4 linked regions of the Struthio camelus genome follow. The protein of the gene in region 3 interacts with the protein of the main gene of each other region in a pairwise test. Links are inferred from orthologs where the notes say so. Each region holds a gene or a part of one and is shown on either strand. Other genes may lie near its edges.

Region 1 (7,830 bases), on a different chromosome or scaffold from region 3:
CGGCAGCTTCCGGGGACGCTCGCGTGAACGTTACTCTCCGTCGCGGTGCTCCCAGCCCGCGTTTTCCACCCCGGGCGGAGCGGATGCTCCCGAACACCCGCTGGCTGCGCAGGGCCGGGGCGCGCGGGGCACCAGGCCCGGGGCTCACCTGGAGCTCAGCGACGCGGGGCTGCCGGGGCGCTCGCTGCTCCTGGCGCCGGCGGGATCCGCCGCATCCGAGCGGGCTGCCTGCGGGGCAGTGCGTCACTCCCAGCCCACGTCCCGCTTGGGGACGGTGCCCCGGGGCTTTGAGATGCTCCCAGCACCCCTGCCTACCTCCCGCTGCTGCCCAGTCTGGCGCTGGGGCTCTACTAGGGGCACTGGGATCGCTCACCTGCTGCCTGGCAGCCTGGGGGGAGCCGGGCAGGCTGGGGGGCACCTTCTTCAGCACCAGCGTGGCCCCGCTCGGCTTCTCCAGCAGCTTCTTTGCCAGGTTCACGGGCGTCCAGCCCACCTGCAAAGGGCACCGGCCACCGGTGGGACCAGCGGCCGCCTGCCCTGCGCTCGCCCCCCGTCCCCCCGCCGTGCAGAGGACACGTTGCCAGCAGCTCCTCCGGGGATGCATCCCTGCATCCCGCAAAGCAGCCGCTCCGGGAGACGGACTCCGCCGCACTCACCACGACCTGCTCGTTGACCTGCACGATCTCGTCCCCGGGCAGGATGGGGGGGCCGCGCACGGCCAGCGCCTGGGGGCAGAGGGGAGGCAGCGGGATGGGGCGCCGCGGTGGCTGCCCCCCGCGAAGCGCCCGAGGCGCTCGCACCGCCAGCTGAGCTGCGGCTGGGGGAAAGCAGCGGGGCTTTGCAAAGCCCGGCTTAAACATTAACCAGCCGGCCTGACCTTTTGGGCCATGCCGGGCGGCCGGCAGGAGGGAGCCCAGGGGCTGGTGGAAACACGGCGCGGAGCGGGGTTCCCGCTGCAGCCTGGCCTGTGCTCACTCGTGAGACGAGTTGCACGGGCTCAGCAGCGCCCAACTCACCTCCGAGGGGGTCCCAGATACGAAGTGCAGGCCGGAGCTGGTGGATGTGATCTCCAGGTCCTGCGGAGGGGGACGGGGAAGGGAGCCGTGAGCGGGGCGGCGGGCAGATCCGGGGCCGGGGCCACCAGGGCACTCACCAGCGTGGCGGTGGGCAGAGCCGGCGCCAGCCCCACGCGCTGCAGCACGGCCGTGCGGTCCAGCAGCTGCCCGGGGCTGCAGCCCACGATGCTCTCGCAGATGCCCACGATGTGCTGGCACTGGGGGCGACAGAACCAGGCTGAGCGGGGGGCGACGGTGCTGCCAGCCCCCCCCCCCCCCGGCTGCCCCCGGCCAGCACTTACGATCGTCAGGATCCGGCCATCCCTCTCGGCCGCTGGGCAGTCCTAGGAGGAGGCAAGGGGCTGAGCACAAGGGCCACCGCAGGCAGCGCTGGCTCCAGACAGCACCCAAGGGGTCCGGCCTGGGGGTCCCTACAGGTAGCCGAAGCCCCCCCAACACCAGCAGGGTGAGAGATCGCCAGGTCTCCTCTTCCTCCTCCCCGGACCCCACCGGAGCCGCTCTCCCGGCGCAGTCTGGGCCCTGCCGGCACCGTCCCAGCCAGGGTCCCCGCGGGAAAACCAGGCTCCTGGGGCAGGGGGGGACGGGCCCTGCGACCCCCTGTGCCGCATCCCCCATAACGCTGGGAGCCCTGGCGCTTGCACGGCTGCCTCCAGCACACACAGGCTTCGGATTCGGGAAAGCCCGGCTCATGCCCATCACCGGGGCCTCAGGGCAGGGCAGCCGCCCGCGGCACTCACCTCCTGCAGCGCCTCCGCCAGCTCGGTGCAGAGGAAGACGATGTCGCGGCTGGCCGAGTAGTCGTTCAGGGTGGAGAAGAGGTACCTGGAGGGCACGAGAGGGAGACAGACAGACGGATCAGGGCCGAGCGGAGGGTGCCCAGCACCCCTGGGTGCCCCAGGGGGGCCAGCGACGGTGCAAAGGGCTGCCCGCCCTCCCGGCCCCGACCTGTTGAGCCACGAGAAGAGCTCCTTGGCGGCCCCGACGAGCTCGACGACGCAGGCCAGCAGGTCGAGGGAGGGCGGCCGCGGCTCGGCCCCGGCGCCCGCCCCGGCGGGCTGCTCGCCCAGCACCAGGGCCTGCGCCCGGCCCGCCAGCGCCCGCAGCTTCTCCGCCAGCGTCCGCAGGCTGGTGCTCGCCAGCTCCTCGTCCTGGCGCAGGAGAGAGGCGCCGGGGCGGCAGGGAAGCGGGCGATGCTCGAGGATGCTGCCCGCATCCGGCCCCGGCGCGGGAGAGCGGGGACGCCCCGGGGAGAGCGGGGGCCGGCGGCACTCACCAGCGCCCGCAGCTGCTCCACGGCCTCCAGCAGCAGCTCCTGGTGGCCCACGCGCCGCACGCCCAGCGCCTCCAGCGCGCCCGCCGACAGCCGCAGCACCTCGGCCCCGGCCAGCCCCCAGGCCTCGAAGGGGTACCCCTGCACCGCCGCGTCCAGGCCTGCCCCGGGGACGCGTTGCCCTGGAGCTGACGGGGCGGCAGGGGGGACACACCGCGGGTCCCCCCGCCCCGACGGCCCCTTCGCCGGGTGACGCTGGCGGGAGCGGCGGTAAATCCCCGCGGGCGCAGCCGGGGCGAGCCGGATGCTGGGCACCGCCTCACCGTGGAATGAGTCTGCCGGGTCTCAGCCCATCCGGCACCGCAGCCCGGCTGCAGCGTTGGGGGGGGGGGCACGAGGCCCCCCCCCAAGGTTGGGAAGCGGCACCCCGCGCGCCCCACTCGCTCCGGGGGGTGAGAAGGGCCAGCGCCGTGACCCCCCCCCCAGCAGGCACGTCCCCCCACCACCGTCCCCTTCGCTGCCTCCCCGCAGCCGCCCCCAGGTCCCCGCCGGGGTGGGGGACGGCGGTGGCCCGGCCGGGGGCCGCTCACCTCGGAGCCAGGCGGCCGCCTGCGCGGGGCTCCAGGTGCCGACGGGCTCCATGGCCGCCGCCGCGGCCCCGGCGGCAGCCGGCACACCTGCGCCAGGTAAGGGCGGCCCGATTGGTGCGCCCGGCCGCCACTCCGCCGCGCAGCCCGCCCCCGCCGCCCAGCATCCCCCACCCCGGCCTGCTCCGCTCGCCCCTCCGGCCCCGACGGAGCGGGGAGAGCCCCGGCCCACCGAGACCCCCCCCCGCCCCGGCACCCGGGCCTCGGTTTCCCCGCTGCGGGGCGAGCGCCGACGCGCGCTGCCTCAGTTTCCCCGGCCCGCTCTCCTCCCTGCGGCCCCGCTGACTTATTTCCCCCCCGCGCTGGGCCTGAACCGCCGGGGACGGTGTCTGCGGCCACGTCCTGCGCTGCCGGGTGGGAGACGGAGGGCCGCGGGCACGCGCCTCCCCCCAGCTCCCGGCCCGCCGTGCCTTGGTTTCCCCCAGGCAGGCAGCACGGAGGGGAAGGCCGTCAGCTCCCAGGGTGGGACCCCCGCCGGGGGCGATTTCCCCCCCCCCTTCCTTCGCAGGTGGGGAAACCGAGGCACAGGGCGGCACACGCCGGGGCCCCGCGGCCAGCTCCGCCGAGCCCCAGACCCCGCTCTGGCTGGCCGGGAGCTGGCCTCTCCCGGAAGGTGCCTTGGCGGGGCCGTCCCCCCCTCGCCCGGCCGTGCGCTTGGGGGAGCAGCGCGCGCTGATCGCTGCTGACAGCTGCTGATGGGCGGCCGCGCCGCGCTGGGCGGCCGCACGGCGATTTCGGAGCCAGGGCGCAGGGCTGGCGGCCCCCGGCCGCGGCTCGGGTCAGGGCTGGACCCATGGTAGGGACTCGGCGGCAGGGGGGGTCCCACTGCCGGGGCCACGCGCGGCCCGACCCCGTTCCCGGACGACGGAGCCGGGGGGCCCCCGATCCAGCTGATCTCCGTGCGGGGCCATGCCAGCCGCGGGCCTTTCCTCCTGCCTCGCCGCTCTCCTCTTCCTCCCGCAGCTGCCCATCGCCCTTCCCCGCCGCACCATGATCATCCGCCCGAGACGCTTAACCCCGGGGTATTTTCGCCTGCTCCAGGTAAGGGTCGAGCTGGGCTGGGGCTGGGCACGTGGGGACCCCCCGGCACCGTGCTGCCCGCGAGCCCTGTCTGCCGCCGCGAGCGATGCCCGGCCGTACCCCAGCTCCCGGCCCCAAAGAGGGCTGGAGCTGCCTGCGAGGGTGCAGCGTTGGGTGCTGCCACCGAAGGCAGAGCCCAGCGAGCGGGCAGAAAGCCCAGCCCGAGAGCACCCTCGCGCCCCTGGCTAAACTGCATCTTTCTCCCTTAAATCCCTCCGCGTTTCTTCTGGGCGCAGCCAGGACATTCAGGGCACGGCCGTGGTCAGCGTACCCGGAGACGCGTGTCTTCGCGCAGCCCCCGGGCTAGCCCAGCGCGTGCCGGAGCGGAGCAGGGCCTGTCCCCGCTCCCAGGGCCACCGAGTCCCGTCCCCGGGGTGGTTTCGGGTCTCGCAGCGCTCTCCTCTCCTCCCGCAGATGCAGCTGGCAGGGTGGCGGGAGGCTGAGCCGAGGGACCGGCTGGTGAATCACCTGGCCCTGCTGCTGGCCGCCGTGGGGCTGAGCCTCTCCTACTACAGCGCCCGGCGGATGGCCGGCCCCGCCAAAGCCTCCCCGGAGCCGTGAGGCCGGGGAGCTGGCGGGCGCTGCCTGGCCCAGGGAACAGTCCCGGGCTCCAGCGACATCGCACCCCTCCCCGCTCTCTCCAGCCGAGCCCCAAGCTGGTGGCACGGGAGCTGCCGGACCCGCTCCGCTCACCAAGCCCTGGCTACGGGGAGCTGCCGGATGCGTCTCCTGACTCACTCTCGCCTCATAGCCCCTTCGTAGCCCGCTTACGCTGCATCCTGCCCTTCCCCTCCCTGCCTTGGCCTTTTGTTGCCCTGGAGCTGAGGGGACACGTTTGTCCCCCTTTTGGGAGCTAGGACAAAGGATGGAAAAGCCAACCCGATTCTGACTCCGATTCCCCAACAACACAAACCGACGCTGCGAGCTGGCAGCCAGGGTCACCTTCCAGCTCAAGAGCTGCCAGGCGCAGCCCAGGGACCCAATTTCAGGCAGTGGCAAGCTGAGCCCTAAACTGAGCCGCTGCCGAGAAGCCAGGATCCTGCCACCATGAGACAACCGAGCCTCAGTGAACAGAGACGCATGGAAAGGAGGGCCTGGGTGAGGCATTGGCCCCCCTCTCCCCACCCTGCTCCCGGGAGAGGGGCCCACGCAGCCCTTGCGCCTCGCTGGCAGCCGCACAGGGCTCCCTCCCCGAACCGGCGCAGGGGAACGTGCTGCCTCTGCAGTCAGGCCAGCTCCAATTAACAGCCGCTCCTCCCTCCCCGGGCGGCTCAGCCAGCAGCCCCACGTCACCAGCCGGCAGAAAAGAGGTCAGCGCAAAGCGCTGTTAGATAACAACAGAGCTGGGAGGGCTGGGACCAAGATCAGCCTCCGAGCAAGAGGCTGGGAGTGGAAACGAGGACACAGGGTTGGCTCCCATCGGAGAATTGCTGCCTGCGAGCAGGGGGCAGATGCCCCATCTCCCCACCAGGACCTTCCCACCTCTCCCTCTTGCACACCAAACCCCACACTGCTCCGAGCTGCTGCATGGAGCAAAGCTGCCCCTAGCAGAGAGTGTTTAGATACCAACTAGAGAACTAGGTTTAATTGCCTCGATAACCCTGGGGGGAAGAAATCTGGTCAGTCTGCATGCAAATAAATCTTTTCCTTCTGAGCAAAGCTGCACTGTCTCGCTGCCTTTCTGCTGCTACAGCTGAGCGCTCCCTCCTCCTGTGGCTCAGCAGGGGGGACAAACCTTTCATCTGTTGTTTTAGTGCCACAGTTGTATCAGTCAAACCTGTTCTGCAGGAATTTACGGCAGTCAGTGCCATTGCAACACGGAAGCGTTGCAAACATTGGAGTCGCATAGCAGAGAGAGGCCGAGCAGGGAGGCGCTGCCCTAGCAGGGGCGGGAGCACCCGACAGCCTGGGCGGCTGAAGCAGGATCCCTGCGCAGGAACAGAACAGCACTGGGCTGGGGGATACGCGGTAGGCACTGGATCACACTGGGTGCGCGGCCCCATGCCGCTGCTCTCTGGGGGTATGAAACCACTCACCAGGCACTGCGTTTTAGTGGGCAGAAGCCCGGAGGTGTCCCTGCTGGGAACACATTAGCGCCTGCCCCTCAAAGCGCACAGGGGATCAGGGCCCACTCTGGGAGCTCAAATCAGGCAGGGCCAGAAACACAAAAAGCTGCTTGCGATAGACCCAAGGGCTTGAAGAGCAGTTCGTTCCAGCACACAGTCCCCCAAAAGAAGCTCCTGTGCTGCACCTTCCACCAACGCGTTAGGATCCCCCTCACCGGAAGACAAACCAGAGGGAGCTTTACCTTCCTGTCAGGGCAGGAGAACTGTGACGAGGCCATTCCTACAAACTGATAGGCACTCTGGGAATATTTCACTTCCAAGGTTCAGGAAAAGTTTAAAATCGAGAGACTACCCTCAATCCAGAAGGGCAGCTGTCCCCACTACCTCAGCACTGCTCCAAGCCAGAGCCTGGACCACACTAGCAAAGAATTCTGCATTCAACACTGCCAGCCTGTTGATTAACATACTTTAATGGGTGACTTAGAGGTGTCAACCTCTAACCCAAGGAGAAGTATCTAAAATTGCTCTAAAACCAGAGAGATGAGTGCACAGCCATATAACATTTACACCAAGCTGCTGCTTGTCCCTTCCCCAGGAAGGGGAACACAGTCTGCTGTCAGGCACATAGTACACAAGCGCCCTCCCCAACGAGGGCATCCAAGGTCTCTCTGGCTGCCTTCTCCTCATTAGCTCTTCAGCAAGGAAAGCTGCCAGGAAAACTGTTGCTTCGTTGCTGGGAGGCTGGAAGAGAGCTCGTTTTCCTCACAGGGCTCAGTAACAAAACACCTTTTTTGCAGCACTGTAATAAGGGCAGCCCTGGCCCTCTAGTCCGCTGCACTCAGCTGGACGCCTCCATCTCGATTTCTTCATCGATCGGTTGGGTATGTACTTCTACCTTCTTTGGGGGGATGTAGGATCCCATTCCAGCCGCTCTCTCTGCCTCCTCCTGCGTGTACGGCTCCTCGCTCAGCTGTTTCAACCTGAAAAGAAGGCAGAAATTACTGTTAAACCACCCATGTGAGTTCTGATGTTCACCTGAATCTCCTTAAAACAAGCCAAACTCCTGTACAAACTGGCCCAGAACTGACACCACCAGCCTCACCCTGCCAAAGCTGGAGACAGGGCAGAGCCCTGTGGCTACAGGCGCAGCTCCGGGGATGGCACGAGGACCCACACGGGCGGCTCACAGTGCCACAGAAGCCCCCCCCCACACTTACCTTTTCTTGTGCACCTTGGACCTGAAGTGCTCCTTCATGCTGGTCAGATCTACGAAGTAGCGCCTGCAGGGAGAGACTGAGGGTGAGAGGAGCCCGAGGCAGGAGCGGGGCGGGGGACAGGGAGCGACAGCCAAGCCCAGCCGCCTCTGAGGGGCCCTCGCGTGAGGCAGCCGCTGCCCGGGCCCCAGCGGCAGCCCCCCCACTACCAGCCCACCCCGTCTTGGGGCGGCCTCCATCCCTTCCCGGGACAAACTACCGGGGTTAGAGCGACCCCTGCCCCAGACCGGCCCCCCCCACCCCCCGCGGCCGTTATCCGTTTCGGCCGTTACCCCCCCCCGGCCCGTGACGCACGCGCAGTGCAGGCAGTAGAACTGGGCGCAGCCCGGCAGGTCGGGGTCGGGCTCCTGCCGCAGCAGCCTGGCGGCCACCTCGGGCCTGAGATCCGCGTGGATCTCGTCCAGGTCCCGGCGGCGC
Region 2 (7,262 bases), on a different chromosome or scaffold from region 3:
CGTCAAAGAAAGAGGCTTATGTAATAGTCCTAAATCATCACGTTACCACTAACTGAGGTTCTTGCAACAATGGAGGGGGAAAAAAAAATAAACACGGTAATTGTAAGCTCATAATTGTACTTCTGGTTACTAGAAATCAGCTTAGTCTGACAGAATCTTACTAGTAGCTACTAATTAATGATCAAGTCAGTTACTTAACTGATTAATTAACTATGCAAATCAACTATCTTACTTGTAAAAGGAGATTCTTGATCTGCAGATTCTCTCTCACAAACTGTCTGGCCAGGAAGGTCAGATGTTAAGCTAGAGCTGTCCCACAGGGCAGAGACAAACAGACACAGAGGCAGTTTTCATATTCACCTACGACTGTCCCACCCTGATGAGGTTACAAGCCATCATTCTTGGTCCCTCTGACTTTGTGTCTCAAAATGCAGCTGAAACTACAGATTCACCATTAATTTTACAAACAATAAGTGCATTAAAGTGTATTTGTAAGTCTTACTTGTCAGCATATACCTTCAACCTGGGCCATAATGGATATATTTGAGAACCTTAAAAAACAAAAACACCAAAAAAGAACACTTCCCCCCAAATTAGCCTTTGAAAAGCCACAAGAATTCTTTTAGCAGGCCTAGCAGAAAGAAAAATGCATATGTCACATGATAACACCATTGGTTATAACCTTATTTTCAAATGAATTTAAAACGATTCAATCCCCTCACCAGCAAGCAATTAAAAAAGAAGACTTTTGATTGTTTGGGAAAAGGCCAGGAACGGCTGGAACAAAGTTCACTGCTTCTATCTCCAAGACAGAAAGGGCCTGGAGACATCACCCTGGCTGGATTACAGCCAGATCCTGTTAATCCAGCAGGGAAGCCCAGAGAGTGGCAGGTTACAAGCATTGACAGCTCTGAGAAAGTAGTTAAAGGAGCCCAGACTTGCTGCCTTCCAGAGGAGGGAGGCTGGAAAGAAGGAATGGGTTCAAGAGAAGAGAGCTGCTACACAACTGTCTCTCAGGTCTTCTCTCAGACCAAAGAAAATCAATCAGAATGGTATGCTTAAGTGCAGTGTTTTTACCCTAAACGTGACTTTGCTTTCAGACTCCTCATAGCGTTGAGCTGACTCTCAGGGCTGCTCGGTTGATAGAGGCCCTTGTAAAGCCAAAGCCCAGGACGTGGGGAGCATTTTTGGAAAAGGTAAGTGTAATAGTGAAGTTACTCCTGCCTCCTAGCTAGCTCTTTGGCTGTGCCTGAAACTACTGCACAATAAAAGCAGACAATGTTAAGAAATTGGCTGCTGAAATGGATGAACTGCTAACAAAATGAAGAGGTAAAGAAATGCTCCAGGTCTAAGAGACTACTCCCCAGGAGTCTTGCTCTGTCCCAAAGACGCACAGTTCTTGTTAGCCCAGAAGATCAAACACAGAGGTGAGAGGGGTGAGGGGGAAGACCCAGGTCTGTAGACCGTCCTGAGACCATGGTCTGAGGGGTTTCTCTTGAAGCAAGTCCCTTACAAAAAAGAAGCAAGGGGAAGGGGGCATTCCCTCTTCTATTTTTTTCAGATCAGCCATTTAGCAAATGCACCTTGGAGGGAACACTGCAAGTTCCATCATCAGAAGAGAGAACAAGAGGAATGTTTCTTCTCTAGTAGAAAGGAGCAGGACTGCTCCTCTAATTCAAGCTAAAATATCAGCAGCGTCATAGGAGAAGGCTCACAACTTTTTGCAGTGTCAGAAATCAGGCATTTTTTTGAAACACTGCAAACATGGATCATTGTAGTGAGAGGAAACTGAAGCATCCTCACTGGAATTCAGTTCTGACCAACATTTGCTGTCAAAGCATTGCATAATGTTTTAGATACCCAAGGCAAAATAAAAATTGAAGGAACCACAGCAATAGGCTGTTGTGAAACATTTGGTACATTTGGAGGTTCGGAAGAAAATCAGCCAGGGTACAGGGGAGGGGAAATTATTTTCATTTCATCAGAATGAGCCTGATATACTAGATGGAGATCAACATGGAGCCTTCCCAGCTGACAGGGCTCCCTCAGACACCTGGCATCCTTCAGGATCCTTCCACAAGAGGCCACTTGCAAGGCCAAGAGACTGAAAACTTCAGCTCTCCTGCTCCATGCAGACCTGCAGAGAGGCTGCCTGGAAAGAAGCATGGACGTATTGGAGCCCGAGCATCAGGACCACCACCTGGCCTGGCACAATTCAGGAATCCAGCTCTGCCACCTGGGATTTCATGGACAAACTGGCTTTGCAGTTTCCTCCTCCCTGCACATTGATATTTTCCTTTTGCAGAATTTTTACACTTTGTTTTCTATCCATGTTGGAACGAAAAACAGCTTCAGAGGCTCAAAATCCCCCGTGAGTTGGGACTGCCATTTCCCACACGCTCTTGCTCACTGCACTTTTGCTCAAGCCAGGGCTCCAACGAGAGGCTGAACCTGTAACTACATATTGGCAGAGCCATCTAGTGGTCGGAAGTAATTTACTTTAAGGCAGCCGAGCTAAGACCACAGCAAAAGCCAACCAATGCCTCCTATGTTTACCGTTGCCCTCCAGAGCACTGCGGGTAGAGGCTTTGTCTATGTCAAAAAAATAGGGTTGCTCAAGCAGTATTGTCAGCTGCTGCCCTGACAAGAGATGCCATAAGGATGTCCAATTCCATTAAGTCATGATATTAGGCAGGTCACAACTGTCGGTGCAAAGCGTCAGGGTAACAGCAGCATCCTGTTGGGATATGCATTTGAGAAGAAAAAGGTATTAAAAACTTAATACTGCTTGCACTCTATGATTTTCTCTCTATATCTTCTCCCCTTTTCTTCCACCCAGGCAGTATTCTTTACACTGGCAGTTCTACAAAAGAGACTAGCACACTTGCAGAGAAATGTCAAGAGAACAGCTTCTAAAAGGTAAAGCAAAATCATTACACTGATTATGAGGATGAAACAAGGAAGAAGTAACGGGGAGAACTGCCTCTTCTTCCATTGAGGATTTCCACTTCACGTTCAGAAAAGTTCACAAGCAGCCGAAGCCTTGAGAGTGCTGTTTGATTCCTCATTAAACAACTGGGAGCATTAAAAAAAATTATCTTCCTTCCTTCCTTTACAGTACATGAAGTGCATATATAGTAATCAAATGTTATCTCTCTCTAATAAAGCATTCTTAGAAAGGGGAAGTAAAGCAAGGTCAAACCGTCTTGACAGGTTGCACTTGAGGACAGTGATACAGCTCCTGCGCTACAATGAAGTCCATTCAGCCACAGAAATTTGCATGCGGTCTTCTTTTCTTCATGGTGAAATGCATTTCTCCAGCAAAAAGAGAACAGAGAAAACTGGACTCCCCAAATCGGAGCTTCTCCAGAGCTAAGTGCTGTTCTGAGTATTTATGAATCAGATCAGATGCGAACTGCTGAGAAGAAAAATAATAACCTCTAAGATACAGTGAGAAAATACTCTTAGAAAGCCCTGGGTTTGCCCTGAGAATCTAGTTTAATCAGCAGTTAATTCCTCACTTCTAGACTATTGATTTCAGTTATGGGTTTCATTTTCTTTTAATCACATCTAATTGAGATAATAAAGTTTCATTTAATTTTCAGTATGTGAGATTTACTAGAAGAAAGAGATATGACAAGTATTTGGTACACATGCAGCTTTAAGCAACTTCACATTAGCGGCAAAGACATTTTTCCCCTACCACAGCACTCACTGAGTACTACGTTAATAACATAGTCTCTTTATGACATTAACTTGCGGCTTCACAGAGTTGGGGAGAAAATTAGACCGTGACAGACTTGTTAGAAAGGTACAGAGAAAGACAAGCAAAAAAAAACCATACTGCTTCCTTGTTTCTTCGGTGTCATCCAGGAAGAGTAAATCACAGGGTTTGTCCTATTTGTTTGGTAGTTATTACTATTGACAGAGCACTGAGCGAGTGCAGTTCCTGAAGCAGATAAAATCAGTTGGGTTTCAATAATAGAAAAACCTTCAAAGATTACCTGAAGTGCTGAACACCCTTTAAAAATTTGGTCCATTTTCGGACATATCCCTTTCCCAGGCAGCGTCCAAAATCACCAGCCACTTCTGCAATTTTAGTTTGTAGCTTTCCAACTGTCCAGTTAATGGCTGAGAAGAAGAAAGGGAATTTTTCCTTTTCTCCTTCTTGAAATTACAACTTGTCATAATTTTTTTCACTAGTGTTTGTGGTGAGATTTTTAAATTCTCATTTCTTGATAACATCTTTGCATGAAGATTTCAGTTTTCACTGGAAAATAAAAGAATCAAAGCCCCGTACTTGCTAAGAAAAAAATTATAATCCAGAAGGATTCTGAAGACAAGCTCTAAAAATCTGTAGAGCCAAGAGTTGGCTTGTGCTTCCCTTAGATCCTTAGATTTTGAGAGCACATGGCTCACAAGTTATTGTAAGCAGTGCTCATATAAGGAGATTTACAATCAAAATTCAGTTGCCTTATTACGAGGTGGTCTTTAACTCCTATGTCCAAACTGTGATTAGCGTTTTCCATTTTTACCTGTTTGCAGTGAGTATGAGAAAAAAGCCTGCTACACCTCTTAATCACAAAAAGAGCATAGTAAGAAATATTTATGAGAAGTTCCTTAACCGTCCATCACTGTGAAAAGGGTATCATGTCCAAGATGGGCAGGGTAACAAGATGGTAGACCCTGGGAGCGGAAATAAAACTTAGAAAAAATTATTACTGATTGCAAAAGATGGCTCTAATACTTCTCTGCAGCCATCAGCACCTCTGAACAGTCAGAATTTACTATGATTCTTGCTTCTTAAACCACTATAGCTTTTGCCAGAATATCCACACCCCAAAAAAATCATTAAAATGACTGCAAATGCAGATCTAAAGACATTAAACACTTGCTTCTTGAATCTTGGGCAACTGAGCACTTTCTCTTATTCCTTTTCTGTGGGATTGCCCTCACTGTAGAAAAATCAGAAAGTAAAGCAGTGAACGTTTTTCTAAACTAGAAGGTAACATGTGGAAACTAGCTGCAGCAATAAACTATAATTATCCTTTCACAAGAACAATTTCCAGTTTTTCCAAGAAGAACTGGCTTTTTTGATGTCATGAGCCATACCTCAGCAAACTTTTTTCCCTTAAATTCCATCATATTATGGCACTCCCCAGAGTTAATACAGCACACAATACAATCTCATTCTCCCTCTCTCACTCTCCCTCCCCCCCTTTTTTTTTTGTAAAGGAGACAATTTTTCACTAGTTTTATTTACCATCTTCTCTCTCTTCTCTCTGTTTTTCTTCTAAATTAGTCTCAGGTGTTTATGTGTTTTATATTTGGTTCCCTGTGTTCTGATACAGAGTTCCTCAACTTTTTTCAAATCTGTTTTTATACAAATATCTTTTGAGATTTATTTAAGAAAAGTAAATAACCTCAAAACTGTTTAGACTTCCCAGTGATAACAAATACAAAATAAAATCAATATTATCAACTATTTCATGGCAGTGCATAGCTCACAGAAATCACAACCAGAGTAATTAGTCCTATTTTGATGATCTTCTTCAAAATACAATAGCATGTATCCATTTTAATTGTTTCTTCAATCTTCCTTCTCATGTTGCATGCCATTCTCGCAACAAAAACAACATGGTAGTACAAGTAACTAATGAGCAGCAAATGTCTGGAGAAAAGCTACCCCACACTCAATATTTCTCATTGCAGCACAGCTGTAATTTATACCAGTTAAAGAGTCTAAGGCTAATACAAGGACTTTAAATACCCATCATCTAAATTATCTCCATTTAAGTCAACTCACTTGATGACACAACTTTCAACACACACTTTTTCTAATATGCGGAACGGGGTATTTGTCCTCGTAGCTGATCTCTCCTGCTTTCCTCAGATAAATGGCACTATGCATCCTGTTTCTCTTGGCATTTATATAGCTTCTCATGTCTTCTGACCAGATATTATAGTTTAGCTCATCTGCTTTGCAAGCATTATCGAGGACAATAAGGTTATATTAGTCACGTCTTGTTAAAGCACAGGGTCATTGAAAGACCCGGATACAACTCATCTAAGCACATCAGTGACTGAACACAAGTGAATTACTATCTCATGATGAGCAATGATGCTTTTCAGACATATGGACATGACTAGAAACACCTAAATGACAACAAAGCTCTGGGGGAGCATCTGAAAGCAAAAGTCCTGCCCAATACCAGCAAACTGCTCTTTCTGGAGGAGACCTGTTAATATACATTCCCTAAAATCTAACAGTACCCTAGAAGAAAATATAAAAGTGAATAAGATACGCTTCGGCATCACACTGAAGTGACTTTTACACGCATAAATTGCTCCCATCAACTAATGTTAGTGGGAGTTTTAGTACAGTAAAAAGTTAGCACCATAATCATGCCCACAGCAAAGATTTCTTATTTTCAAGCCATAATTATTTCTACTTTGTAGCTTTCTCTTCCACAGAGACTCTCAGGAAAAACAATCTTTTCATTCAGGGAAAATCCTCCCACATCCTAGAAATACTAAAACATGTAAAAAATAACAAACTTCAGTTAAAAAAACTCATAGCTTTGAAGGAATTAAAAGTTTTCTTTTCTTACCATGCAAAAATGAGGGGAACTGTTTTATCTAAAAACATAGACAAATTAGACAAAAATAAAGTTTCGCGGTTGTATTGTCCAACAACATAATTTCCTTTTTCTCTGCATTGAAAACTTTGCTGAAACCTGCATCCTAGCACGGGGTGACAAAAACATTAAAGTGGTGTCAAGTCATAATATCACAGCTGAAGTTCATTGTGTCCTGAATTAGTATTATTTCTACTTCAAATTCTATGATAGCCTTTAACTCAAAATTATAATAATTTTTATGTAATGGAACAATAATTTAAAACAGAGCCAAATACATAAGAGGCTTGGAACAAGAAACTCAGTTCTGTACTATATAGACTGTAAAAGCACTTTTAACCATCAGTCCGTGATTTGTTGAGATCAATGAGGAAGAAAAAACCCAAGCTACTCCAAACAAGAAAAACAAATTACTTCCAAGAAAAGGACTTGCTCTCAAAACTTTTTATATTTGCCACTCCAGAGTTTAAGGTCCAATTCTTCGTAGAAGAGAGCCAGCTGATCACAAATATAGAGAAGTATAAAGAAATGTAGAAAGGTTGAATTCAAGGTAGCCAAGGCTTAAACTCCACAGAGCTCTGTAAGTCAGATCAGCAGGCTGAACAGCTGTTAAAAATGGATTTC
Region 3 (7,683 bases):
CTCAGGGCTATCCGGTGTACACGTGGCACTTGGGATGAGCGCCCATAAGCTTTGGCTTCTCTTCATGCAGCTCTGGTATGGTTTGCAAGCTCCTCAGTAATGTTTCCCTACAGCCTCCAGGAGCTGTTTTGCCTTTGCAAGAGCATCTCATGCAGTTGAGTTTCCCAGTGTGACAGGCTTACAAGGCTTTTGGCAGTGGCATCCTCTCTTGCTTATCCCCATGTTAAGGCAAATGACTGTATTGGGGTTCTAGCACTTCCAAATGACCTGCAGGTGGGCCTGCCTAGTCTTAAAATAATCTCAAAAGGCAGGCGTGGGTGGAGGAGATGAGCTGCATCTGAGAAACAGAGAGAGATCTCAGTTTTTATTTCCTACTTTGGCAGGTGGTGGATAAAGTGATTGGGATTTAGCAAATCAAGGGATACTAATTGACAGACTGTTTCTAGCCCCCTTCTGGCTATGTGTGTGTATGCTTGATGAAAGGCAATGGAAAGGAAAAGCAGAGAGGATATAGGCTGAGCAGGAGCAAGAAAGAAAAGGGATCATTTTGCAAGGACACTGAGACTCAATCCTAGCAGGCCTTTGCATATAAGATATGTAGCACAGAGTGAAGGGAAAAAGCACTGCTCAATTTCAGCAACAGTTCTCTGCTTTGTTAGCTCCTAGCTAGATGGCAAAGGAGCTTCTACAGGCCAGATCAAATCCCACACTGGGCTTGCCTGCCAGGGAAATTGGTGGGACTCATGGGAGCTGAGCCCTTGCCAGAATTTGGCTGTGTGTGTTGGTGAAGGTGGGTGTCTTCACAGCACCCGGCTCTCACTGCCTGAAAGCAAAAGTAAAGAAAGCTGCTGCAGGACAAACTGAGGTGGGAAGGGAGGTGGGTATCTCATGTTTCTCTGCCGGTACAGAGCTTATTTTAAGGTCTATTTTCCACAAAAACTGGGGCTCTCAGAATGGATAGTCTGACAGTCATCTAGTAAAATTATGTGTTATTGAGTTAATTATATCTTAAAACTATGCACTGCAGTGGTGCAAAGGGGTCCTGCTCAGGGATGATGAGGTTTTGCTCAGCTCTCGCTAGAGGCAGAGCCAGGACACAGGCAATGCCTGAAGAGAGATTTTTGACTGGTGTCTTTGTTCAATCCCAACTTGTCACTTCACAGTCTGGTTAGGAAGTAGGCTTGTTTGATGCTGCTCCACCTTGGGAGCCAAGACTCCCCACAGATGCAGGTTTCCAGTGGACTCTGGAGCCCTGGATGTGTTTCAAGTTGCTCAGTTGTGGCATCATTTGTCTGAAAGACATGGGTGTGTGTACTCCTTGTACTTTTCCTGGAGTCTCTCCTACCTAGAGAAGCAACGCCCCTGTTAGGTACCTGCCTGCTCAGGCTGGGTGAAGTTGAGCCCTATGTCTATGGGGAGTTTGTTCTCCCTGCAGTGGACTTCCTCTTTCAGGTTCCTTCAGGACCCTTGAGTGACTGCCTGGGTAAGGCCACAAAGCCAATATGCCAAATCACTGAGCTGGGTAGCAGGGGTTGGGGGAGCAAGCCTGTACCCCTCTATCACAACACAGGATGTGCGGGGTGGGAGCCCCAGGTTAAAGTGGTTGGAAACTGTCCTGAGTGCTGTAGGTTGTCATGTGGGATAAGGGGACCAATAGCCAACATAAGCTCTTCTTCCCACCTTTCCCCAACATAGCAGGAAAGAGCAGTTTCTACCTGTGTGAGCTCACTATTGAATTTCTTCTGGAACAAGCTGGCAGAGAACTGTAGAGTGGCTGCAGGAGAGAAACAGATTGGGCTGGAGGGAACTGAGTAACTGGTAGGTCCTTGCCCTGGTACCTGGCTGGGTGGGTGGTCATCTGTGCTGAAGATGACACAGTCCTGTAGCCCAATTCAAAAAAGAGAAGGAATTTCAGGTAAAATTCTTCCATCACGCAGGCTCAACCAGGCAGGTGGTGCCCAACAGGCTGGTCTGCTTGTGTGTTGTCCTGGGTGGAGGATCCTAAAGTCTTTTGTGGCCAAAATAGTAAATACTATTTACTGGAAAAGGGGCCAGCTGAACCTCTGCTGTCATGCTGTAGGCATGCTCGTGGATGCACATGGATGGTCTATAACAGTGCTGCAGACAGTCATTCTTGGTAACCTTCCACTGCTGCTTCTACAGACCATCCTTCCAGTTCTCCTGTAAGTACTGCCCACTTACCTCTATGCTCCAAAAGCTACTTTCTCATTTGTATACTTTTGCTTGGAATTGAAGGCCTCACTTTGCACCTGGACAGCTTTGCACAGCCCACTGCAATGGGAAGCAGTTACTCTTGGCTGGCCACACGAGCACCTAGACTTCTGGGTAACTCCAGCCTGCTCTCCAGATCAGGAGGCTGATGGCCTAAGACACCACAATTGGAATTTAAATCTCTGTTCTGTGTTGAGATCCAGCACTAAAAACACAAGGCTGGGTGATTTATGAGCAAGCGGCAGGTCTTTCTATATGGGTCTGCCCTGAGCGAAAAAGCAACCTCCAGAGCAGGTGTGAGTCCCACAAGTGTGGTGCTCTCATGCTCTCCCTCCAGATCTGTTCTCTGGAAATTAGGTTCCCAGCAGCCACAAGTCCACTTCGGAGAGGGTACTAGCCAGTATCACAACACACTGCTTATGTGTTGTGTTCTTCAGAGTTGTGTTTGACTGCCAGCATCCCCCTGAAACCTGTGGGTGTTTTCATAGGGTGTTCTTCAGCAGTAGGTGAAATTTCCCCCTGTGCAGAGAACCCTGACATGGGCTATGCATCATCTGTGTCCTGATTTGACCCTAAAAGGAAGTGGAACTTGGTGGTATGGAGGATTTTGATGGTGCTGAAACCCCGCCTCAGTCCCCTTGTGTAGGGATGAATTCCCCCTGCCATTCCAAGAGTCTGGAGTGAGTCAGGGTAATACTTCACTGAAAATCTCCTTCTCCTGCTGATTCAGGTTGTTCTGAAAGTGGAGAAGGAAGGAAGGCAAAGCAGTCTGCTCCCATTATCTCATCTGCTGCTTGCCCCCCGCCTCTGTTGCTTTCTGTGACTTTCTATGGACGGTTCCCCAAACACGACTTCTGTGTTCACTTCCCCTAACTGTAGTCCCCAGTGCATGCACTAACATTGATGAATAGCCTCAAAATAGCCTGGAACAGAGCATCAGGAGTTCTGTTAGAGAAGCAGAGTGATTTACAAGAACTGACCTCAGAGTTATTTTCCAAGGCAACCAGGGACTTAAGCTGTTTAGGCTACTTATAAAACCTTACAAGGACCCTCTCTGCACCTTTGGGTACCTAAATTGCTCTGGAAGTTTGATCCTTGTATTTTTTTTCCCTCCTTTTTTCACCCCTTCTGTTTTTTTTAATTCCTTGATTCCTTCCCCTTCTCCTTAAGACTCATATGCTTTGTCTCCCCCACCCTCCCCATACTTTCCTCATTCTGACAGGCTGGGCAGGTAAATCAGTTGGGGTTTTCAAATGTTCAGGAGAAAGGGGGACTGAGTTATTTACAGTTTCAGCGGGGGTCATGTGAGTGAGACAATATCCTCTGGGATCCTCATGTCTCTTTGAGATGCTTTAGGCTGCTTCAGTAGACACAGAGCAACTGAAGCAAAGCAGCCAGCCACACCACTCAGTTTGCTGATGGGATGGAGGAAGGGAAGACTCCTCAGGTGAGTCCTGCTGCAGCGCTTTTGTGGAAACAAGTACAGGCCAAGATGTCTTAGTGATAATTTGACAAGGTATGACTCCAGTGATTCCACAATTCCCAGGCCCCAGGGGGTGAGGGAGATAAAGCTGGAGAGGTGGAGAGGCTGGCCTCATCTCCTGCAGGCTCCAGAACTGGGGGAGACATAAAAGTAAGTTGAAAGGCCCAGGTTTTCTTGAACACTGCTCACAGGCCAGGCTGACATTCAAGGGGGAGTCAGCAACCTGCCCAACATGCAGCAAAGCCACTGCATGGGGTTTTGTTTATTTGTTTTTAATTTCTGGCCCACAGATTTGGCTGTTGCAAGCTGCTGGATGCCACAACTTTTCCTCCCTTCTCAACCAGCTTCAGAAGCAGTCAGGTTTTTTCAGCTCTTCATGGAGGTTCCTTGCAGAGCTAGGAGGGGATATGGGCCCTTCTCAGCCCACACTTCCCAATGTTTACTTGCCCGACGCTTTCCCTCCAGGGGTGTGGCAGCCTCTCCCTGGGGAATGCAGTGCTTGAAAATGTCTGTAAGAGTGTCAGCGAGAGGCTGCAGTCTGGAAAAGGTGCTAGCACAGAGTTAGCACATAGAAACCCAACCAGCCAGGATGGGGGAAAAATTAGGATTAGGGATGACAGGTCTCTCTGAGCTGTTTTGGGTATGGCAGGAAAGAAGCATATAGGCTCCAACCTGACTGCCTTTGTCCCCTTTCCTCTTATCTGTCTTAGCTGGTTCCTTCCCCTTTTCTCCCCACTCATATTTATAGCAGTTGTTTTGCATGTGAGATCCACACTAAGAGTATTTCCAAGGCAGCTGGTGCCACTTCCCCTTTTTCCAGGAAGATGGGAGGCCCAGGGGATTTTAGCTTATAAAACAGTAGAACAGGGCATCCAGTGACCTGACCTGACTTGCCAGGAAGCTTTGTCTTTCAGTGTTTAGGTACAGCAAAGACCTTGACTGTGAGTTCTGCAGTGAGTTCCCAGGAGCGCCATACTCTCAGCTTTCTGTGAACCCCTGGTTTTTCCTGTGGCTCACCATCTGCTTTGCCTTTCTGTGGCTGCAATCTCCTCTTTCTCCTTGCTGAAGATGCTGCGCTCCAGCTGGATTATATTTAGTAGCACTGCTGTCACCCCAATTCTTTAAGGTCTTTTATGAATCATTCTGTGGTCTCCTTGGCTCTGCTGCTGTATGTTTGACTTCCTGTACATTACAAGGAAGCCTGCTCATATTTCTGTATTGTCTGTAGTCCACAGTGGGGGAGGAGAGCAGAACAGCAGTCTCCCACAGACAGTCCTTCAGCAGTGCTTTCATCCCCGAGATCCTGCTCTCAGACTTGAAAAATCTTGATTCTCTCTCATAAGCCATTTCTGTCTCTAGCTATGGTAGATCAATCAATGAAGCTAGTGGCTCTTCATGGGACATTTGGATTTAGATGGAGTATTTGGGTCACAGCCTTCCTGTTCCCCAGATCTTGTACATAAAAGTGACTATCATGAAAACCACCAAAGAGCGTTTGGTGAGACCTCTTCACTGTGTTCGCAATGAGTAAAATCTGTTGAGTAGGCAGGGTAGATTGCTGCAGGGTTAGATCAGAGGGCTGTCAGGCAGGAGGGATATGGTGGGCTGAGTTGCTGGCTTTGGACTGAGAATCATTTGCAGGGCAAATCTGAGGTGCAGTAGCTGCAATAGCAGGGGAGGCTGGAACATGGATATAAGAGGTACTGTGGCATGATCCTAGGAGAAGGAGAGGATGAGCATTGGGAGGCTGAGGCAGCTTTGCCTGTGATGTGCTGGGCCTCAGTACCCTTCTCACAGGCACCTGTTTGTTCTTCCAGAGCCATCTGACTTGAGCGAGGCTGAAGAAGCTGAAATAGAGACAATCAGGCAGCACAGAGAGGAGCTTCTGAAGGACATTAAGGTAAGGACCTTACCTCCTCCTCACTGCTTAGCCTTCTAAAAAATGTGTTCACCAGGGAATCTCTTCAGTAACAGTCCAGGCCATGCAAAAGTGCTCCTGGACAAGGGATATTTGCTTTGGCACGATCCAGCTTGACTTCTGAAATTCAGGCTGCCCCAGCATGTGTGCCATCAGTATTCATCCAGCTTGTGGTACTCTGCTACAGGAGTCATCAACTACCACAATGGGGCATTTGAGAAAGGCTTCTCAACTCATTAGCAGAGATGAGCTAGGACCCCATACTTAGCATTAAGGAACCTTCACTAAGTTCTACTGACAGGGGTCTGGCTCAGCATTTACGGCTCTTTCTAATTGCTCACTACCTGATGATGACATATCCTAGTTACCTACTGCATCCCTCCATGTTTTTCAAACTTTTATTTGCTTTGTGGACCTCTAACAAGTCCTCCATGAAGGATTCTGTCCCTTTAGAAAGGTGTGACGGCAGGACGTCTCACACAAGTTTCCAAGTTTGAACTTGTTTTTCTTCTTTGCTTTTAGCAGTCCTGTAGATTTCCTCTACTGACTCCCAGAGTCTGCAAGTGACATATTCAAAATCACTCAGTAATACCACATAACATTCATGCATGGTGCTGTACAGTTTCCATTCTGTTTTCCATCACCATGGCACGCGGGCTTCCATCTGAGAGAGCTTATTGAACTGAATCATAGGACGTACACTGCTTTTCTGACAGCATGAAGACGTTCAGATGCTTGGGAAATGGGTGAAGCATGTCCTTGCATAGGAGAGAACATTGAGCCAAATACCTATCGCTTCTCAGGCTTCCAGACATAACATCTTTGCTGAGAAATCAGAATGATGTCTTATCCTTTCTTGCAAAATAGGCTGTGGTTGTTACCTACTAAGTTTCCAGAGTGAACAGTGGGCACTGTAAAAAGCAGGATATGTGAATAAGAACACTACATTTTTTTTATCCAGTACAGCCAGAAAAAAGATGTTAGACTACATGGACGCATATCCTAAACCCTAAAGCCATTGATCAATGTGACATTCATTGCTCAGAGGGATGAGTTTAGGTAAAGGGGCATCTAGCAAGAGAGAAATTTTCCAAGCGTGGATTTCTTCAGAGATCATCTAGCAATATCCTTTAACACAAAGACCTGGAGGAATGGCTTGGTGGGATGGGAGAGGGAGAGAGGAGGGAAAAGAATGAGTCTAAACTTGCCTGTTAAACTGACAAAAGACAGTAATGAGGGAAACAACAAAACTATGATAATTATTTGTAATTCAGGAGCTATGATCATGGATTTGTTACATTTGTGCACCATCAAAATTTATTAAGGAACAGTCTCAGCTCTGGCAGCCTGATGAAGCAAGACAGAAGGAAAGCAGGAAGCAAAATCAAGGTTCAGAAGCTCTTTTAAATGGTGGGATTTCAGAGAACTTCGTAGTTCCTGTATCTGGGTACATAGTGTGGCCATGTCTTCACTCCTTGTTGAAGCAATATCTGGGATGCAACAGCCCGTCTTCCTCTGACCATTCTGGTATGCCTGTGCTGTGTGATCCTGGAAAAGACCTGTGATGTACTCTGGCTCCTAGACAACGAGGAGTCCAGAACAGCAGGATGGAAAGAAACAGATCATAGTGATCGTGACAAGGAGATCACAGCAATCTTTGTTTCCTTGATAACCCAGATAATTTAACAGAGAGGGCCATGGTCTGTCGTGGACCTAAAGGAAGCTGAATATTACAATTAAGACTCAGTCTGACAATGATTCCTCCTCTTTTCCTCATCCCTCTTTTTTCTGCACTTAAAGACAGATTTCTACTCACTGGTGTTTGACTGATAGGTGCATTAAAAACTCTGTGTTTTACAACTTGGCCACTTCAAGTCTATTTCAGCCTGCCAGTTACTGGTTCCACTTCTGCTTTCCTGGATGCATAGCAGGGCGATGCAAAATAAACGCCAGAAAGAAATGGGCATGATGTAATGAGTCTCACATGTGACATCCTTTGAGGAGTTGAAATGACACTGGGCTGAGTTATCTCACTCTTCCATGCTGTATA
Region 4 (7,503 bases), on a different chromosome or scaffold from region 3:
ATCCTCAACATCCTGTCCCTTTCCTTGACTTCTGTTGTTTTGTTCTCCACCCGCAACAACATCTCCTTAGCCAAGCAGAGCGGTCTCCTCCTCCTTGATCTCAGCACTTCCTGCCCCCCCGCCCCGTGTCCCCTTTCCTTCGGGATCCCCACACCCAGGGCACGCAAGGGCCCCTTCGCCACAGCCCAGCCTGCAGCCCAGCTTGGCGTTGGCTGCCTGCCCTGCGGGGAAGAGCAGCTCGCGCGGAGGGGGCCAGCGGGACGGCCCAGCCGCCGCCGCCCCCAGAAAGCGCCGGTGAGGTTCGTGGGTGCGATGGAAAGCCCAGGCTGACTCCTGCTTGTGTCGGATTTTGTTGCGCGCTCCTCGGGGGGTTCCAGCGAGGGAAGCGCCGCTGCACTCGCCTCCTTTGGATCTTGCTCCATTAGCTGAAGAAGACCTCTGTCAGTCTGTCTGTCATGGGGCTTGAACGTGCTGCCTCTCACCGTAGCGTGCGAGCTTGCTTCCTCGCCCTGCTTCATTTCTGAGGTTTTACCTCTAAATACTGAGCAGTTCTACAAACACGTGGGCCACCTTGTTTCGCGTAGTTTCCTCTCCTCTCGCGGCTGACCGATGGTGCCCTAGGAGGATAGATGATAGCACGCGCAGCGCCCTGGGGTGGGCTCGTCACCTTAGAGGCGCAGGGAGAGAAGAGGCCAGCTTGGCTCCAGCAGTAAAAAGGGACTGTGCCGGCAGCAGGAGCGTTGCCTGGAGGACACTGTGCTTGCGCTGCTCTGGGTTATAAAACGTCACTTTGGGGTCGCTGCTGCTAGAGGTGAGGGTCCCAAGGCCAGCCCGGCCCATGGGTCAGGGGCGTACAGGACGTGCCGCGATGGGCGAAGCCGCCTTTGAGACTTGCCGTGTCTGTGCGAAGCGCGGTGTTGTGAGCGTATGGAGGCAGGTCCGGCCGGGCGGGAGGTGGCATCATCCAGCACGGTGCAGGCAAGAGCCAGAGGCAGCGCGGTGACAACGGGTGGGAGGCGCTGGCAGCATCATTGGTGGTAATTGGCAGCTGGTGGCATGTGGCTGCGCGACCACGAGATGCCAGGATGTCTCCGCTCGCCGTGTTTGTTCTTTAGGATGTCCCTGTCACACACCCAGCTGCTGTGATTATTAATTACTATTTATACTTGGCTATAGGTAGGCTCTGCACTTTAAAGAGCCATGAAGGTGGGAAGGCTGCCCTCCCGGGAGCTCCCAGGCGAGGTGGCGTTCGTAGGAAAGCCACAGCTCAGCCCCCGGATGACGTGACGGGGCCCTTCTCCAGCGCCTGCTCCTCTGCCACAGCAAGGCAGGGGGCACCCCCCCCCCACTGCTTTACCAGCCCCCTTTCCTACTGCTCCCTGCTGCTCGCTCCAGAGCCCCGCGGTCCCTGCCCCGCTCTGCAAGCCTCCGCGGGGCCAGGCAGGCGGAGGGGCCCCGTCACGCTGTGCCGGGAGAGTGTGCGGCGCAGGACACGGCGAACAGCGTGCGCCTGTGCGAGGGGAATTGCACTAGTGCCCCTGCTGCCTGCGAGGTCTGCGCCGCCGCGGGGAGCTGCGCCGGCTTCTCAGCACAGAGGAGCATTTGAGAGCAAGGAATTATTTGTTAGTGCCCAGGGCCATGTCCCTGTGCCCCCCCCCCCCCCCCCCCCGCCGGTGGCTCCGCCGCGGGCCCCTCGGCACTGCCGACCCCCCAGCAGCAGCCCCAGGTTTGGCAAGAGGCACATGTTTGTCGCGGCGCGCGCCCGGAAAGTGAAACGTGGAAGCGCTCGGTGCGGTTAGCTGTGGTGAGAGGATCCATGTGAGCTGTTGCCCGGCTGCCGGCGGGCCGCGCTGCTGCCGTGAACTTTCCCCTGGTGAGCGGCCGGACGGAGGCACAGCCCTATCCTGACCCGGGAGTTGGCGGTGGCTGCGCGGCTCGCGCTGCAGTGGCCGTGGCCTCTCCGTCCCGCCGGGCACGTGGGAACGGCGGGCCTTTCCAGGCAGCAGCCGGCAGCCCTGCCTGCGCAGGGGGCTCTGCGCGGGCGGGGGATCCCGCGCCCCGGGGGCGGGGGGGGGTCCCAGCCCGGCAGCGGCGCGTCGGGCCGAGCCCCGGCCGAGTGCCGGGGGCCTGGCAAAGCCCTGCCGACCCTGCTCGTGCGAGTTTAGCAGCACTGCGGTACTCAGCGGGCTCATGGTACTTGTGTGCTGCTGTTGCGAGCGGGCCAAAGGACGGCTCGTTCCCCGCTGGCGGAGCCAGGCAAAGTGCCTCTGTCAGGCTGCGGCACGGGAGCAAGGGCAACCCCGTCACCCGGGCAGGAGGGTTGCGCTCTGACTGTGTTTTGTCCCTGCGGTACTGCTCACTTCCTCCTTTTCTTTTCACAGACAGTGTGGTAAAACCGTGTGCGCCCCGCGTTTGGAGCAAACAACAAACCCACGTCATGTGTTTTTGGTTTCTCTGTTTCCTTGCCTCCGTCGGCACATGCTGGAGATGCGCAGCGTCTGTGCACTTTCCGTTTGGTGCAAACAGAGCGCGCTGGGTCGCCAGCGGAGACGGCAACAGACGGCTTGCATCGGCACCACCAAAATATTTTGGGCTCTTGGCAAAGCGGGTCCTCCCCCTGGTTTCCAGAAGTTTCTTTTGCGGGTGCGATTTGGCAGGGGGAACCCCGGGGCTGCCTGCAGGCGGGAGCAGGGCTCAGCAAGCAGTCCCCAACGCGTGGCTGGGAAATGTTTGGGGCCTTGAACTGTGCTGCAGGCTTTTCTCCAGCCCGAGCCACCCTCCTGGGCCCTGCGGGGACGCGGCCGTGGTGGCCGGCGGGCAGGGACGGCCAGGCCGGGGCTTTGCGAGTTCACCGGCGAGGACGGACCCCTTTGCCGGCAGCGCGGGGCCGAGGCTGGCCGGAGAGTGCAGCCCTGGGCGCCGCGCCGGGCTGGGGCCAGCCGCTGGGCTGGAGCAGGACCAGCCCCTGGGCTGGCGCAGAGGTGGCGAGAAGCCCATGGGCCGTTGCTGGCGAGCGGAGCGGGCCGTGCGCCGCGGCAGTCCTTGGCTGTCCCCTCCGCTCTGACGGGCAGCGCAGAAATAGCAGCTGGCCCAGTTCTCCCGCCCCCGTGGCCCAGATCTCTAAGAACGGAGGTTGCTCGCGCAGCAACAGCGGCGGCGGCAGCAGCAGCAGCAGCAGCAGGCGCTGCATTTAGCCCATGAGCTCAAAGAGCGGGAGAGGCTGCCAGCAGGATCCCAGCCTGGCTGGGTGACGCTCCTGCTTGGAGACTGCGCTGCAGGCTCTGTTTGTTGCTGTAAACATGCTTGCTGCTGCAGCTTCCCTGTTACTATCTATAGCCGCGATCTCTTGGCGCCCGTGCAAGGCGAGTCTGCGGTCTGGCTCCCAGCTTTGCCTGACCTGAGCCAGGGCTGCCTGACATCCCCGTCGTGGGTGGGTGTCTCCGGGCTTCGCTGCAACCGGGATCAAAACAAAACCCAAACTAGGGGAAAGGACAAGCCTCACCCATTGCTCCTTGCTGGTGGTTTCCTGGTGGCCCCCTGCCCACCCGCTGGGGGTACAGCGGCATCCCGGCACCCCCGGGCGCTGCTCCCGAGCTCTCCCAGCCCTCCTGGGGGCCGTGTCTTGCCCTGCAGCCCCGCAGGCTCCCCTGGCAAGGCTTCCCAGCGCCCTGTGTCATTATCCTCCTTCTCGGCTCTTTCTCTGCATATATAATAGAAAAGTAAATAATGCCACATGAGTGTAACATTTTCCTCGCTGCAGGAAATGGAGTAGGTTAGATTTTCCACATGGACAGCCTGTAATATTCCAGCGCCGGGCTACAGACAGAAATCGCTCGATGCCAGCGCCGGGATTTATTTGCAATAAAAAAAGTAGACGTGTGTTCCTCGGAGGAGTACTGCCGCTCCGGCTGCCCGGCCCGGCCCGGCCCTGCGCCCCGAGCCCTTGCGTGCCGCCGAGCCCGCTGTGCGGGCGCCTCTAGCCGAGCGGGAGCGCGGGGGGCGCGCGGTCCGGCGGGGACCCGACCCGACCCGTCCCGTCCCGTCCAGTCCAGTCCCGCGGGGCGCGCCGCCCGCCGCCGCCGCCGCCGCCGCCGCACTTGGCTGCAGCCTGGAGCGGTTCCCGTCAGTCACACCCCCTTGCACAGGATGTATCCCATATAAGGATATCTGCGTCAGTGGGTTCCCGAGCTTGGCGGTACCACGCCGCGCGGGAGGTACCACGCGGCACGCGCGCGGGGGGGTGGCCCCGCCGCCGGTCCGCCCCTCCCCCCGCCGCGCCGCTCGGCGGCCGCCCGCCCCCCCCCGGGCCGTTGGGCGCGGCCCCCCCGCGGGAGGTGGTGGGGGCGGAGCGGGCGGACCGGCCCCGGGGCGGGGCGGGGCGGCGCGGGGCCGGCGGCCCCCCCCGCGGGCGCGGGTGGTGCGTCCCCAGTGACGTCGGCCTTTTTCACACGGCGGGAGGGTATAAAAGGGGCGGCGCGGCGCGGTACTCCAGGGCAGAGCGAGCCGAGTGGCGGAGCAGGAGCCGGAGCGACGCGGTGGCGGCACGGACAGGCGCAGCCGGCCTTCCCGATCTCCTTCCCTCTTTCCTTCCCGCCTGAGGACACTCCGCTCCCACGGCCCCGGGTGTGCACCCTTCGAGCCGAGCCGATATGATGTACCAGGGCTTCACCGGTGACTACGAGGCACCTTCCTCCCGCTGCAGCAGCGCTTCTCCGGCCGGGGACAGCCTCACCTACTACCCGTCGCCGGCGGACTCCTTCTCCAGCATGGGCTCGCCTGTCAACCCGCAGGTGAGGGCCGGGGCGGCGGGGGGGAGGAGGAGTGGGACACCCCGGCGGGGGGGGGGGGGGGACGCGGGCCGGGACCGGGACCGGGCGGCGTGACGGCGGCGGGCTGCCCCCGGGCCGGGGCCGCATGGGGCGGCGGCGGGGTGGCCCCCGCGGCGGGGCGGGCGGGGAGCCGTGGCCCGGGCTGCGCTCTGCAGCGGGTGCGTAAAGCGGCTTCATTGATAAAACGCGAGTTCATTGAGGAGACTCCGGAGCGGCGTCTGCGTCAGCGCGGACGTCAGAGATATTTATAACAGCTCCTTTTCATGTGGAGCCGGGTGATGGCAGCGCGGCGCCGCGGCCGGCGCGGCCCCGGCGGCTGCGGGAGGCGGCCCGGGGCGCTGCCGCCCGCCCCGCTCACCGCCCCCCTCTCCCCCCCGCCCCGCAGGACTTCTGCGCCGACCTGGCGGTGTCCAGCGCCAGCTTCGTGCCCACGGTGACGGCCATCTCCACCAGCCCCGACCTGCAGTGGCTGGTGCAGCCCACCCTCGTCTCCTCGGTGGCCCCCTCGCAGAGCCGCGGCCACCCCTACGGCGTCGCGGCGCCCGCCGGCGCCTACTCCCGGCCCGCCGCGCTCAAGGCGCCGGGAGCCCGCGGGCAGAGCCTCGGCCGCAGGGGCAAAGTGGAGCAGGTGAGCGGGGGGTCGGGCCGGGTCGGGGGGGGGGGCCGGGGCTCGGGCCGCGGGGCTGCCCCTGCCGGGGCACGGGGTTGGCAGCGCGACTCAGCGGCCTCTCTCTGCCTGCAGCTGTCCCCGGAGGAGGAGGAGAAGAGGAGGATCCGCCGGGAAAGGAACAAGATGGCAGCGGCCAAGTGCCGCAACCGGCGGCGGGAGCTCACGGACACGCTGCAGGCGGTAAGTGTGGCCCGGTCGGGGGGGCAGGGGGGTCCCGGCCTGGCCGGGGGTGGTCGGGGCACCAGGCTGGCCCTGGCTGACAGCCCGCTCTCTCTGCAGGAGACCGACCAGCTGGAGGAGGAGAAATCCACGCTGCAGGCAGAGATAGCCAACCTGCTGAAGGAGAAGGAGAAGCTGGAGTTCATCCTGGCAGCCCACCGACCTGCCTGCAAGATGCCCGAGGAGCTGCGCTTCTCCGAGGAGCTGGCAGCCGCTGCCGCGCTGGACTTGGGTGCCCCCAGTCCCCCTGCCACCGAGGAGGCAGCCTTTACCCTGCCGCTGCTGGCTGAGGCCCTGCCGGCTGCACCACCGAAGGAGACCAGCGGAGGTGGGCTGGAGCTCAAGGCTGAGCCCTTCGATGAGCTGCTCTTTGCCACAGGGCCACGGGAGGCCTCCCGCTCGGTGCCTGACATGGACCTGCCTGGGGCCTCCTCCTTCTATGCGTCAGACTGGGAGCCGCTGGGTGCTGGGACCAGTGGGGAGCTGGAGCCCCTCTGCACCCCCGTGGTGACCTGCACCCCCTGCCCCAGCACCTACACCTCCACCTTTGTCTTCACCTACCCCGAGGCGGACACCTTCCCCAGCTGCGCTGCCGCACACCGGAAGGGCAGCAGCAGCAATGAGCCTTCGTCCGACTCTCTCAGCTCCCCCACCCTGCTGGCCTTGTGAGTGGCCTAAGGCCCCTGTACTGACTGACCTGCCGGGCCCCCTCCCCTGCCCGTGCGCCCCCATGGACTTGCCGCTGTGCCCCACGGGTCCCCAGGCCCGGGGAGGGCCCCACCACCGCTGCCCCCTCTGTCTGGCCTGGCACCCTGGGGCCTGGCAGAGCGCCCTGTGCTGAGGCCTCGTACCTCTTCCAGAGATGTAGCAAATCGCATGGAATTTGTCTTGTCCCCAATGGCCCACCCATGAGAGCTGGTAGTCTGTAGCATGTCCCACATGGCTGGGTTGGTGACTCCCTCCCCTCCTTAGTATCACTAGCATTAACTAATTAATCTCTTGGTTTTAAATTATTGGGATTTAACCTGGTGCTGGGTATCTCCAACTCGTATCTAGTGCAGCTGATTAACAATAACTGTGTTCCTGGCAATATCGTGTTCTGATGACTTAGCAATGACCCATCTTCTGTGGGGGGGGGGGGGAAGAGACTCTATTTTATTTTCTAGTAGGTAGATAAATAGCTATATCCATGTACTGTAGTTCTACATTGATGTTCATTGTAACTTTACTGATCATGCATTGTTGAGGTGGTCTGAATGTTCTGACATAAGTTTTCCATGAAAACGTTTTTATTGTGTTTTTAATTTATTTATTAAGATGGATTATCAGATATTTATATTTTTATTTTATTTTTTTCTACCTTGAGGTCTTTTTTGACATGTGGAAAGTGAATTTGAATGAGACTTAAGCATTGTTTGCTTATTATTGTTCAGAGACATTGTCAATAAAAGCATTTAAGTTGAATGCTGGAGGTGTCCTTGCATTGCCTTCTTGCATCACTTCCTTGTGACCCCCAGAAGTGGTTCCCTTCTCTGTAACGTGGGCTGGGATTCATGAGCTGCAGCCTGGTGCTAGCTGTCTGAGGCATGGGGTGCTCCAGGGGCAAGGGTGGGAATGCCCTTAAGGACAAGTCTGCCCCCTGTCAGAGGGCTGGGGCACTTGGGATGGGTGCCAGGGTGATCTCCTCTTCTATGACCTTACCCATCCCCCCTCTCCCTCTGGGGATGCCTGTCCTTGGCCTGCTGTCCTTTCTCTGCCCTTGTACCTCTGCATTTCACCTGCTGG

What was found.
Region 1: the proteins of CYTH4 (region 3) and CNKSR1 interact in binary tests that used the Homo sapiens proteins (3 or more experiments, as listed by UniProt). The two-hybrid records come from large-scale screens. The link is inferred for Struthio camelus from reciprocal best matches to the Homo sapiens genes CYTH4 and CNKSR1.
Region 2: the proteins of CYTH4 (region 3) and IPCEF1 interact in binary tests that used the Homo sapiens proteins (3 or more experiments, as listed by UniProt). The link is inferred for Struthio camelus from reciprocal best matches to the Homo sapiens genes CYTH4 and IPCEF1.
Region 4: the proteins of CYTH4 (region 3) and FOS interact in a two-hybrid assay, tested with the Homo sapiens proteins (2 studies listed by BioGRID and IntAct). The two-hybrid records come from large-scale screens. The link is inferred for Struthio camelus from reciprocal best matches to the Homo sapiens genes CYTH4 and FOS.

The regions. Positions count from the first base shown.
Region 1 is NC_090964.1:7,138,986-7,146,815, forward strand, and holds the start of CNKSR1 (connector enhancer of kinase suppressor of ras 1), read right to left. Parts: upstream 3,004-7,830; 5' UTR 2,989-3,003; coding exon 2,937-2,988; intron 2,535-2,936; coding exon 2,350-2,534; intron 2,225-2,349; coding exon 2,022-2,224; intron 1,899-2,021; coding exon 1,814-1,898; intron 1,400-1,813; coding exon 1,358-1,399; intron 1,274-1,357; coding exon 1,154-1,273; intron 1,077-1,153; coding exon 1,017-1,076; intron 726-1,016; coding exon 657-725; intron 494-656; coding exon 374-493; intron 229-373; coding exon 149-228; intron 1-148. Other genes in the region: ZNF593 (zinc finger protein 593), read right to left, coding at 6,978-7,119, 7,357-7,419, 7,708-7,830. UniProt on the Homo sapiens protein: May function as an adapter protein or regulator of Ras signaling pathways.
Region 2 is NC_090944.1:79,650,829-79,658,090, reverse strand, and holds the start of IPCEF1 (interactor protein for cytohesin exchange factors 1), read right to left. Parts: upstream 3,011-7,262; 5' UTR 2,996-3,010; coding exon 2,938-2,995; intron 1-2,937. UniProt on the Homo sapiens protein: Enhances the promotion of guanine-nucleotide exchange by PSCD2 on ARF6 in a concentration-dependent manner.
Region 3 is NC_090942.1:59,011,176-59,018,858, reverse strand, and holds the start of CYTH4 (cytohesin-4), read left to right. Parts: upstream 1-4,681; 5' UTR 4,682-5,110; coding exon 5,111-5,213; intron 5,214-5,532; coding exon 5,533-5,615; intron 5,616-7,646; exon of another isoform or gene 7,647-7,683. UniProt on the Homo sapiens protein: Promotes guanine-nucleotide exchange on ARF1 and ARF5. Promotes the activation of ARF factors through replacement of GDP with GTP.
Region 4 is NC_090946.1:57,949,214-57,956,716, forward strand, and holds FOS (protein c-Fos), read left to right. Parts: upstream 1-4,489; 5' UTR 4,490-4,649; coding exon 4,650-4,790; intron 4,791-5,214; coding exon 5,215-5,457; intron 5,458-5,571; coding exon 5,572-5,679; intron 5,680-5,778; coding exon 5,779-6,387; 3' UTR 6,388-7,182; downstream 7,183-7,503. UniProt on the Homo sapiens protein: Nuclear phosphoprotein which forms a tight but non-covalently linked complex with the JUN/AP-1 transcription factor. In the heterodimer, FOS and JUN/AP-1 basic regions each seems to interact with symmetrical DNA half sites.